Linked DNA regions of Canis lupus familiaris. The protein of the gene in region 2 purifies or fractionates together with the protein of the main gene of each other region. This does not show direct contact. Links are inferred from orthologs where the notes say so. Each region holds a gene or a part of one and is shown on either strand. Other genes may lie near its edges.

Region 1 (4,744 bases), on a different chromosome or scaffold from region 2:
AGTGCTCAGCAGGAAAACTGAGTAGCTTAAGAGGACCAGAGGGGGGGCTGGTTGCTATTTCACAGGAGATAATCAGGAAAGGCCGCCTGTGGGACACCTGGGTGATTCAGTCAATTAAGCATCTGCCTTCAGCACTAGTCATGATCCCAGGGTCCTAGGATAGAGCCCTTAATCAGGCTCCCTGCTCAGCAGGGAACCTGCTTCTCCTTCTGCCCCTTCTCCTGCTCATGCTTTTTCTCTGGTTCTCTGTCAAATAAATAACATCTTTAAATAAATAAATTAATTAATTAATAAGGAAAGGCTGCCTGTAAGCTGACAATTGGGCAGAGAGACCTGAAGTGAACAAGGGAGTGAGCTATCTGGAAATGCGGGGAAACATGCTTTGTGCAAAAGGAGTAACATATTCAAAGGCTCTGGGGAGAGAACTTGGTGAAGAAGAATGTAAGGTGGTCAGAATGGCTGCAGTTAAAAGCAGGAGAGACACCTGGGCAGCCCAGTCGGTTAAGTGGTTAAGTGGCTGACTTGGTTTTGGCTCAGGTCATGGTCTCAGGGTTGTGGGATGGATGGAGCCCCACCTCAGCAGGGAGTCTGCTTGAGATTCTCTCTCTCTCTCTCTCTTTTTCTAAAATAAATAAATATTTTATTTAAAAACAGCAGGAAGATGAGACATGGGGGAGGGGGGGTGGAGATAGGACCATTCATGGCACCACCCATCCCGTAGTCCAGTGCCTGCACCTGAATTCCACAAGACTCAGGCCTGGGCCTGCAACGGCCCCTTCCCTGATATCCACCAAGCTGCTCCCCCAGTTCCCTTCCCTCCTGACCCCATCCCCCTGCAGACTTTCAACACTCCTGGTCATTCCCTCACAGTTTCCCCATTAGACAACCAGTCCATCTAATTAAAAAAAAAAAAATCTGAGTAATAGATTCAGTAGGAAAAAAGGCAACATTTAACCACAGCCCTCCAGAGAGAGGAAATGTACCCTAGTCCGGAGCAGGGGTTCAGAAGGGCAACTGTAAAAAATAAAGTCCGCCACATGACAGCAGGGCATCCGGGCTTCGAGGTTCTGTAAACTGAGGGACAATAATCCTTGAAATAACCTTGGGAAGTAGGTATGGAGGGGAGACAGGAAAAACATGACCAGAAGAGGCCCTTACTAAGAGCTGCTGTCTGGCTTTTTTTTTTTTTTTCCTTAAGATTTTATTTATTTATTCATGAGAGACACACAGAGAGAGGCAGAGACACAGGCAGAGGGAGAAGCAAGCTCCCTGCAGGGAGCCTGATGCAGGACTCCATCCTGAGACTCCGGGGTCACTCCCTGAGCCAAAGGCAGGTGCTCAACTGCAGAGCCCCCCGGGCATCCCTTATAGAGATTTTCCTCTTATTTTTGTGTTACTGTTACCTTTCTTTAAAAAAAAAAAAAAAATTTTTTTTTTTTTTTAAATTGGAGTTCAATTTGCCAACATATAGCATGACACCCAGTGCTCATCCCGCCAAGTGCTGGGCACTGAGGGGGGTGGGGGGCACTTGGCGGGATGAGCTGCCGGCTTTTTGATCTAAAAGTGAACCTGAGTAGGGTTAGGTCCCTCCTGGGGTTCTTAAAGTTACCCCTCAGAGAGTCCATGCCTAAATACACATCATCAGTTACTTTTATTTCAGAAACAAAAGAAAGAAAAAAAAAAAAAAACCACGCCGGCAACACTCCTGAAGTCTTCCGGTGCCCCCCACCTCCCAGCCCCCCCAAGCCAGGACCTGCGGCCTCTGCCTCCCGGGGCGCGAAACCTAGTCTTGGCGCCTCTGGAAACCTTGGATGCAGCGGGCCGGGGCGCACCCTCCTGGGGCCGGGAGCCGGGAGCCGGGAGCTGTCCAGGGGCCCCGGCCGGGCCCCGCGCGCCCGCCCGCCGCACCGCCAGCGACCCCCGCCCGCCGCCGCCGACTTGAAGCGGCCCCGGGCGGGAGGCGGCACCGGGGGCCACTCGGCGGGCAGCCCGCGCCCCGCGCCCCGAGCCCCCCGCGCCCCGAGCCCCCCGCGCCCCGCCTGCGCCCGCGGGCTCCCACGCTCCCCGCCCTCGCGCGCGCCCGCGACCCGCTCGGGCTCCCCGGCCCCGGCCCCCCGCGCGCCCCGGGCCGCCGCCGTGCGCGTCTCCCTCCCTCGGAGCCACCCGCCACCTGGCCGCCCCCCGCGGCGGGGACCCGGGCCGCGCCCCGCTGCCGCCACCGTGCAGGGCCGCCCGCTGCGCCCCCTCCCGAGCCGCGACCGCCCTTCGGGGCCCCCTCCCCGCCGTCCTCGCGGTCCCAGCGGCGTCCCCAGGCGCGTCCCCAGGCGGCGGGGACCCGCCGTCTCCCCCGAGGGTCCCGGGCGCCCCAAGCGCGCCCCCTGCCCGTCCCCATCGCTGTCCCCTCCCCGGGGCGCGCTCGCCGAGGGCTTCCCTCCCACCCGCGGGTGCGGGAGCAGAAGCCGGGGTCCGAGCCGCCGGCCCCCCTCCCCGGCGCCCCTCCCGGCGCCCCTGCCCGGCTCGGGCTCCCGCTCCCGCTCCCTCTCCCGCTCCCGCAGCGGCCGCCGGGCGCTGCCCAGACTTCCCCGAGTGCGGAGCGCCCCGAGCGCACGCAGCCGCCCCCGGCTCCAGCCGCGGCGCCCCGGGGGAGCGGGGGCGCGGGCAAAAGTGTCTCCGCGGCGCCCGGGGCGCCCCCCGGCCCCGGGGCAGGGCGCCCCCTCGCGAGCCCCCCGCCGAGCCCCGGCCCCCGCCCCGGCCGCGCCGAGGTCAGCGAGTCGGGGCGCGGCGCCAGCGCAGGAAACTTTACGAACCTGCCCGGGGGTCGCAGGACGGCGGCGGCGGCGGCGGCGCCCCGCGGCCGCGGAGGGGGCCCGAGGCTGGGTCCGGCGGCTCGGGGCCGCGGCGGGGGGGGGGGGGGGGGCGGCTCTGCCTCTACCCCGTGCCCATCCCCGGCCGCGCACACGCACTCACCCTGGGGCCCCGCCGGCCGCCGCGCCGCCGGCCGCCGCTGCTCTCACTTCCTCTTCCTCCCTCCTGCTGGCCGGAGACACATTGTGCATCTGCAGGCATCCCGCGGGCGGCCGCCGAGTCCCCTCCCGGGCGGGCGGCCCTGCCGAGGGGCCGCCGCCGCCCCCGGCACCTGCGCGGGACTCGCGGGGTTGGCGCTGTCCCCGCCCGCGCGCCCCGGGAGCTGCCGCCGCCTCGGCCCTGCGGGGCGGGGGGCTGCGGCGGGGACGGGGTGCGGGGCCGCCCACCACTTTCCGAAGTCCCCCTACTTAAAAATAAGGAAAATGTCAAGCACCGTGCACGCCTCAGATCGGCTATAAATAATATGTGTGCAGAGCATGACTTCTCGGATGAGCTCACACGCGGCGCTTTGCAGGCACTAATTAACTCCGTCACCGTCATAGCGCCACCTCCGGGAGGCCGAGGGCGCGTGGCGTCTTTTTATATGCTTTCATTTTTGGCAGCTGGCATGCAATTTCGAGGGGGTGGGGGGGGAGACTTAGGCGGGTTGTTTTAAAGCGACTTTAAAAGGCGTTTGGGCTTACCCCGGAGCGGCCTGGCGAGGGTAACCCAACCTCTGCTGCTCTCTGTTGGAGCCCCCGAGGCATGTGCGCCCTGCAGTTCTCATCAGTGACCCCAAGGACTCCCTAACTTGGCATGACTTTTCACGAAGCGAGACGTTCTACCCTCCCCAGCTCGGTATTGGGGGTGCACTGTCTAATGCGACCCACTCCAGTGATTTTTCAAAGCAAAGAATCAAAAAATACTAACTCCCAGCCTAGCTGCCAAGGAGGCAAGTGACAGTGGTTGGAAGGTTGCAGGAGAAACACCTGTCCTTAACAAATTCAAAAAGAAAAAAATAGCTATCTACCCGAAAAGACAAAGGCGGTTACTAATGCATTCCCTTCAAACTGGCCAAGTTGGTAACCCGGGAGCAGGGAGGCATTGGCCTCTAAGGTGGAGGGTAAAACTCCTGCTTAAATTGCAGTCCCACCCCCTCCCCTGTGCTGGCAGCCAAGAGCCCCAAGCAACTATTGAACACTCCAAATGTGGCTCGCCCTGAGATGTTCTGGAAGTGGAAAACAGACACCGGACTTTGTATGAAAAACAGAATGTAAAATAGCTTGTTAGAAACTTTTATGCTGATTATAGCATTTCAACAAATGCTAATAGTGTAAGATGTGATCAGTCCACTGGGTTATTTTATTAGGTTAAAAAATACATATATATAATATATATATGTAAAATGTATATACAAATAAAATATATATAGTGTAAATATATACAACATATATATAATTTAGAATATTTTCACTATTTTCTTTTTACATTCTTAAATGTTTTTAAGATTTTAGTTCTTGGGCAACCCAGGTGGCTCAGTGGTTTAGCACCACCTTCAGCCCAGGGCCTGATCTTGGAGACCCGGGATCGAGTCCCAGGTCAGGCTCCCTGCATGGAGCCTGCTTCTCCCTCTGCCTGTGTCTCTGCCTCCCTCTCTCTCTCTCTCTCTCTCTGTATTCTCATGAATACATAAATAAAATCTTAAAAAAAAAAGATTTTAGTTCTTTAAGAAGTTAGGTTCTTTAAGTAATCTCTACACCAAACATGAGGCTCAAACTCACGACCCGGAGATCAAGAGTCCCACGCTCCACCGACTGAGCCAGCCAGGCTTTTTACATTTTTAATGTGGCAAATAGAAAAAGTAAGATTACACAGATGGCTCTCGTTAGTGGCTCACATT
Region 2 (4,490 bases):
ACAGAGGCAGAGACACAGGCAGAGGGAGAAGCAGGCTCCCCGTGGGGGGCCCGACGCAGGACTCGATCCCAGGACCCCGGGGTCACGCCCTGAGCCAAAGGAAGACCTTCAACCCCTGAGCCACCCAGGCGCCCCTGTTTGAAGTTTTTCCTTGGAGAAGTGTGAAGCCCCATTATTTATTGGTGTGGACACGGCCAGGGTGTGAGAACCCGCCTGCAGGGTGAAGGCCCCTTTCCCCAGAGCCCCTGCGCGTCTGCTCTGGCTCCTCTCCCGCTTCCTCAGTTTCCCTCCTGCACACACTCGCACTCGTGTCTGCGAGCCCAAGGAGGACGGGGTCGCTGGGCCTCGGCGGGGCTTCTCTGGGTCACTGCCCTCATTCCACACGCAAGCGAGGGGTCACCTCCCTGGGAAGCCCCCGCGACCAGCCTCGCGCCCCCCTTCCCGCCCCGAGCTCGGAGCTCCCCTTCCCACCCGCGGCTCCTCCGCGCCTCCTCCTCCCCCAACGGGCAGGTGCTCACTCTGAGTTCAGAGTGGGGGGACCCTGTGCGCCGCTCCGGGAGGCCCCCCTCGCGGTCCCCGTGCCCGTGCGGGGAGGACCCCAAGCCCCGCAGATCGCCCCCTTGTCGCTGCCCCCCCCACCCCCCCACCCCGCCCAGGGCGCCCCCCTGTCGTGCTGGGACCGCCTGGCCCCCAGGAGGCCTCCGGGACCCGGGGTGCCCGCGGGTCGGGGTCGACGTACCCGTGGGTCGGGGTGCGGGTCCCCGTGGGTCGGGGTGGGGGTCGGGGTCCCTGCGGGTCGGGTCGAGGTGGGGGTCGGGGTGGGGGTCCCCGCGGGTCGGGGCGGGGGGTCCCCGCGGGTCGGGGCCGGGGTGGGGGTGGGGTCGGGGGGTCCCAGCGGGTCGGGGTGGTGGTCGGTGTCGAGGTCCCCGCGGGTCGGGGTCGGGGTGGGGGTCGGGGTGGAGGTCCCCGCGGGTCGGGGTGGGGGTCGGGGCTGGGGGTCTCCGCGGGTCGGGGTCCGAGTGGGGTTGGGGTCGGGGCGGTCCCCGCGGTCGGGGTCGGGTCGGGGGGTCCCCGCGGTCGGGGTGGGGGCGGGGTCGGGGTCGGGTCGGGGGGTCCCCGCGGTCGGGGTCGGGTCGGGGGGTCCCCGCGGTCGGGGTGGGGGCGGGGGCGGGGTCGGGTCGGGGGGTCCCCGCGGTCGGGGTCGGGTCGGGGGGTCCCCGCGGTCGGGGTCGGGGTGGGGGCGGGGGGTCCCCGCGGTCGGGGTCGGGGCGGGGGGTCCCCGCGGTCGGGGTCGGGGTCGGGTCGGGGGGTCCCCGCGCAGGGCCGGGGCTCGGGGCCGCAGCCCGGCCGCCTCCCGCGGGCGCTCCCGGCCGTTCCCATCCGGCCCGCGACGCCCCGCCCGCCCCGTCCCACATGACGCCGCCTCCGCCGCAAACTTTTTCCTCCCATCCTGGGGCGGCTCGGAGGGAATGGAAGATGGCGGCCTAGGCGCGGAGTTTCCTGCCGGGCGGCGGCTGCGGCGGCGCCATGACGCGCTGGGTGCCCACCAAGCGGGAGGAGAAATACGGCGTCGGTGAGCGGGGGCGGGGGCGGGGGCGGCGGCGGGGGCGGGGGGGGCGCCCCGAGCGGCTGCCGGCGGCCCCAGAGCGCGGGAGGCGGCCGGGACACGCGCCCCGGTCCCCCCGGTCCCCCCGGTCCCCCCGGTCCCCCCGGTCTCCCCCGTCCCCCCGGCCCCCCGGCCCCGCGCACCGGCCGGCGGCGCAGCCCTGCAGCCTCGGGGCCCCGCGGGGCGCGCTCGCACCCCCCGCCCGGCCGCATCCTTGGGGGGCTCTGCGGGGCTGCGCCCGAGGGCTCGCTCGGGGAGGGCGGCGGCTGCAAGCGGCGGGCGGGGGGGGGGGGGCGGGAGCTGCGGGCCCGCGGCGGGACAGCCTGGGGTCGCCGCCCTCTGGGGTCCCCGCAGCGCCGGGGCAGTCGGGCGGCGGGTCGCGGGGGAGCGAGCGAGGCCGCCCCGACGGCGCCCTCCCCCTCCCCCCCCCCCCCCCCCCCCCCCCCCCCCCCCCCCCCCCCCCCCCGGGGGCTGCCCCCCCCCCCCCCACGCCTGACTTTGGTGACCTCGGTCCCTCCCGGGGCCCCTGTCGCCCGCTCCCGGGGTGCCAGGCCTGGCCCCACAGCTGGGCTGCTCCGACCTGGGGAAGCCTCCGGGCGGCCCTGGCCCTCGGGGCCCTCAGTGACCGGCTTGTCCCCACCCCCAGCTGTGGACAGTGCCGCGGTGGGCCCCGATCCACCTGCTCCACCTGCGGGGCCGCGGGAGGGGAGGGGAGGGGGCCCTCCGCCTCGCTCCAGGGACCCCTGCGGCCGGGCTCTCTTCCCTCCCCGTTTGTAGCGACGAGGAGGCGGAGGCTCAGACAGGGGCACAGAGGTCAGCGGCACAGGTGGCCTTTAGGGCTCCGAGTGTGTAAGCAGCGCCCTGGGTGCCTCCGTGTGGCTTCGTCTCAGCCGTCCTGATAGACACGTCGGGTCCCTCTGCAGCTCACGGAGGAGGTGTGGGGTGCACATTCTGTCCGTCCAGGACTGCTTCAAGGTGTGGTGGCCCTGGGGGTCCCCGCCGTGGAGAGCTCGCCGGAGGTGTGTGAGGAGTGAGCCGAGGACGGGGACACGGCAGGGACAGGTGGAGGGGGGCCTGGAGTGCAGGGGCAGGGAGCAGAGGAGCCCGACCGCAGACAGCCCTGTGGAGGAGGCAGGCAGCAGCTCTAGCTCTGGCCAAGGGCTTGCCTCCCCCCTCCCTGTGCACTGGGACACTGCAAGTGTCAAGTGTCAAGTGCCACTCCCACTTGACAGGGGCAGAGAGAAACTCCAGTGTTCACACCTCTGCTGAGTGCTACTTCTGGGATGGGACTCTGGCTGGGGAACTTAGGCCATCGCACGGAGGCCAGGAGATGGGGAGGGGCTTCTCCCTGGAGCACAACATTTTTGATACCTGACACCTTTCCTTGGCTCCCAGGGTGACCTGCTGGTGTCAGGGAGGACACTGTAGGTGTGGCACCTGTTGAGCTGCATGACTGTCCCGTGGAGAGGACCAAAGGGAGCACCCCGTGACAGAGTGAGCGGGGTCTCCTTGCTGGGGAGGTGACCCTGGGCAAGAACATGGCTGTGTCCCCTCCCCACGAACCTCCTCCCACAACTTCCAGAAGTTTCGCTAGCATTCACTGTGGTGACTTCTGACATCACACCTTTGGCTAATTGTGGTTTTAAGAAAAGTCTGTGCTGGAAAGTTTCCAAAGGACAGCGTCCTGGATGGTTTTGCCAGGCAATGCGAGGAACCAGGTGCGCACGGCAGTCTGGTGGAGGAGAGAGTGGCCCGCTAGGCTTGGTTTCACCAGGGCAGAGCCCAGGCAGCCGAAGGCGCTAGAAGGCCCTAGAAGGGACAGGACAGCACAGCACAGCGTGTTCAGCATCAGAAGGAGCTTTCAGTGACCAGAGTCCCGTCAGGCAACTCCTGATTCTGGGCAGAAGGCAAGGCGAGCGAGGATGCGCACATCCGGGTCAGCCCAAGCTCTTCACTGTTCTGGGAGTTGGCACTGGGGGGTCCCATTGGTTCGCCGGAAGGGAAGCCAGCAGTGCTGGGGGGCAGGGATTCATTCGCATTAGCTAACAGGCTGTTTCCGCCCAAGGGAAAAGTACTGGCCATCCCCCTTACCAACCACAGCGTTTTTTGGGGGAGCCTAACAACAGGGCTGTGTTTCCTCCGAGGGCTGTGGCGGGTCGTGGGTGGGCCTTGCTTCCACTCCGGCCACTGGATTGGCGGCATGAATGAATCACGAGGGGAAAGAAAATGATAAAACTCCATCTCATTTGGAAACATGAATCACAGCTCATTGTTTGCATGTACTTGGAATCTGTCAGAAGCATTGTTTGTAAATGAGACACTTTATTTTTTTGCAAAATGGGGAAAAGAGTAAACAGCTGATCTGTTGCTTCCTCAGCAAGGCAGGAAGTGCTGGTCTCTCCCCAGGCCCCCCATTTATTCCAGTGTGGGTTGGGGTTGCCCCCAGGAAATTTTCCAGCCTGTTAATGTCTCCCCCTGGGCTTGAGTTGAGTGGGTCAGTGTTTACAGATTTGGTTAATTAACACAGGGAGGAATTTTGACTTGCCTTCACGGGAGTGCGGTGGTGGTGGTGGGGGGAAGCTTGGCACAGGTGAACTTTTCCATCATCCCCCAGCTAGGCAGAGTCTGAGGTCTCAACGCTAATAAAACTATTATTGGTCCTGTTCCTAAAATGAGGTAAAAAGATGCAGTGTGTTTTAGAGTCACACCTGAGAATGGTGCGCTCACCTCTCTTGGTGTGAAGGTCAGAATAACGGCCCTCAAAATGTCCATGCCCTAACCCCCAGACCGCGTAAATGCGTTCTGTGACATGGCCGAAAGGGCTTTGCAGATGGGGTTAACGTAATGAAACAGAGTTGGAGAGATGACGTTGCATTAGCTACAT

Evidence for each region. Proteins that work in one complex are often made in the same cells at the same time.
Region 1: the proteins of DOCK1 (region 2) and ELMO1 purify together in Homo sapiens (affinity purification with western blotting; 12 studies listed by BioGRID and IntAct, counting the BioPlex papers as one, with this or other methods). This does not show direct contact. The link is inferred for Canis lupus familiaris from reciprocal best matches to the Homo sapiens genes DOCK1 and ELMO1.

What each region holds. Positions count from the first base shown.
Region 1 is NC_049235.1:48,789,797-48,794,540, forward strand, and holds the start of ELMO1 (engulfment and cell motility protein 1), read right to left. Parts: upstream 3,094-4,744; 5' UTR 3,057-3,093; coding exon 2,968-3,056; intron 1-2,967. UniProt on the Homo sapiens protein: Involved in cytoskeletal rearrangements required for phagocytosis of apoptotic cells and cell motility. Acts in association with DOCK1 and CRK. Was initially proposed to be required in complex with DOCK1 to activate Rac Rho small GTPases.
Region 2 is NC_049249.1:36,263,921-36,268,410, forward strand, and holds the start of DOCK1 (dedicator of cytokinesis protein 1), read left to right. Parts: upstream 1-1,423; 5' UTR 1,424-1,527; coding exon 1,528-1,573; intron 1,574-2,216; exon of another isoform or gene 2,217-2,625; intron 2,626-3,001; exon of another isoform or gene 3,002-3,100; intron 3,101-3,307; exon of another isoform or gene 3,308-4,490. UniProt on the Homo sapiens protein: Involved in cytoskeletal rearrangements required for phagocytosis of apoptotic cells and cell motility. Along with DOCK1, mediates CRK/CRKL regulation of epithelial and endothelial cell spreading and migration on type IV collagen.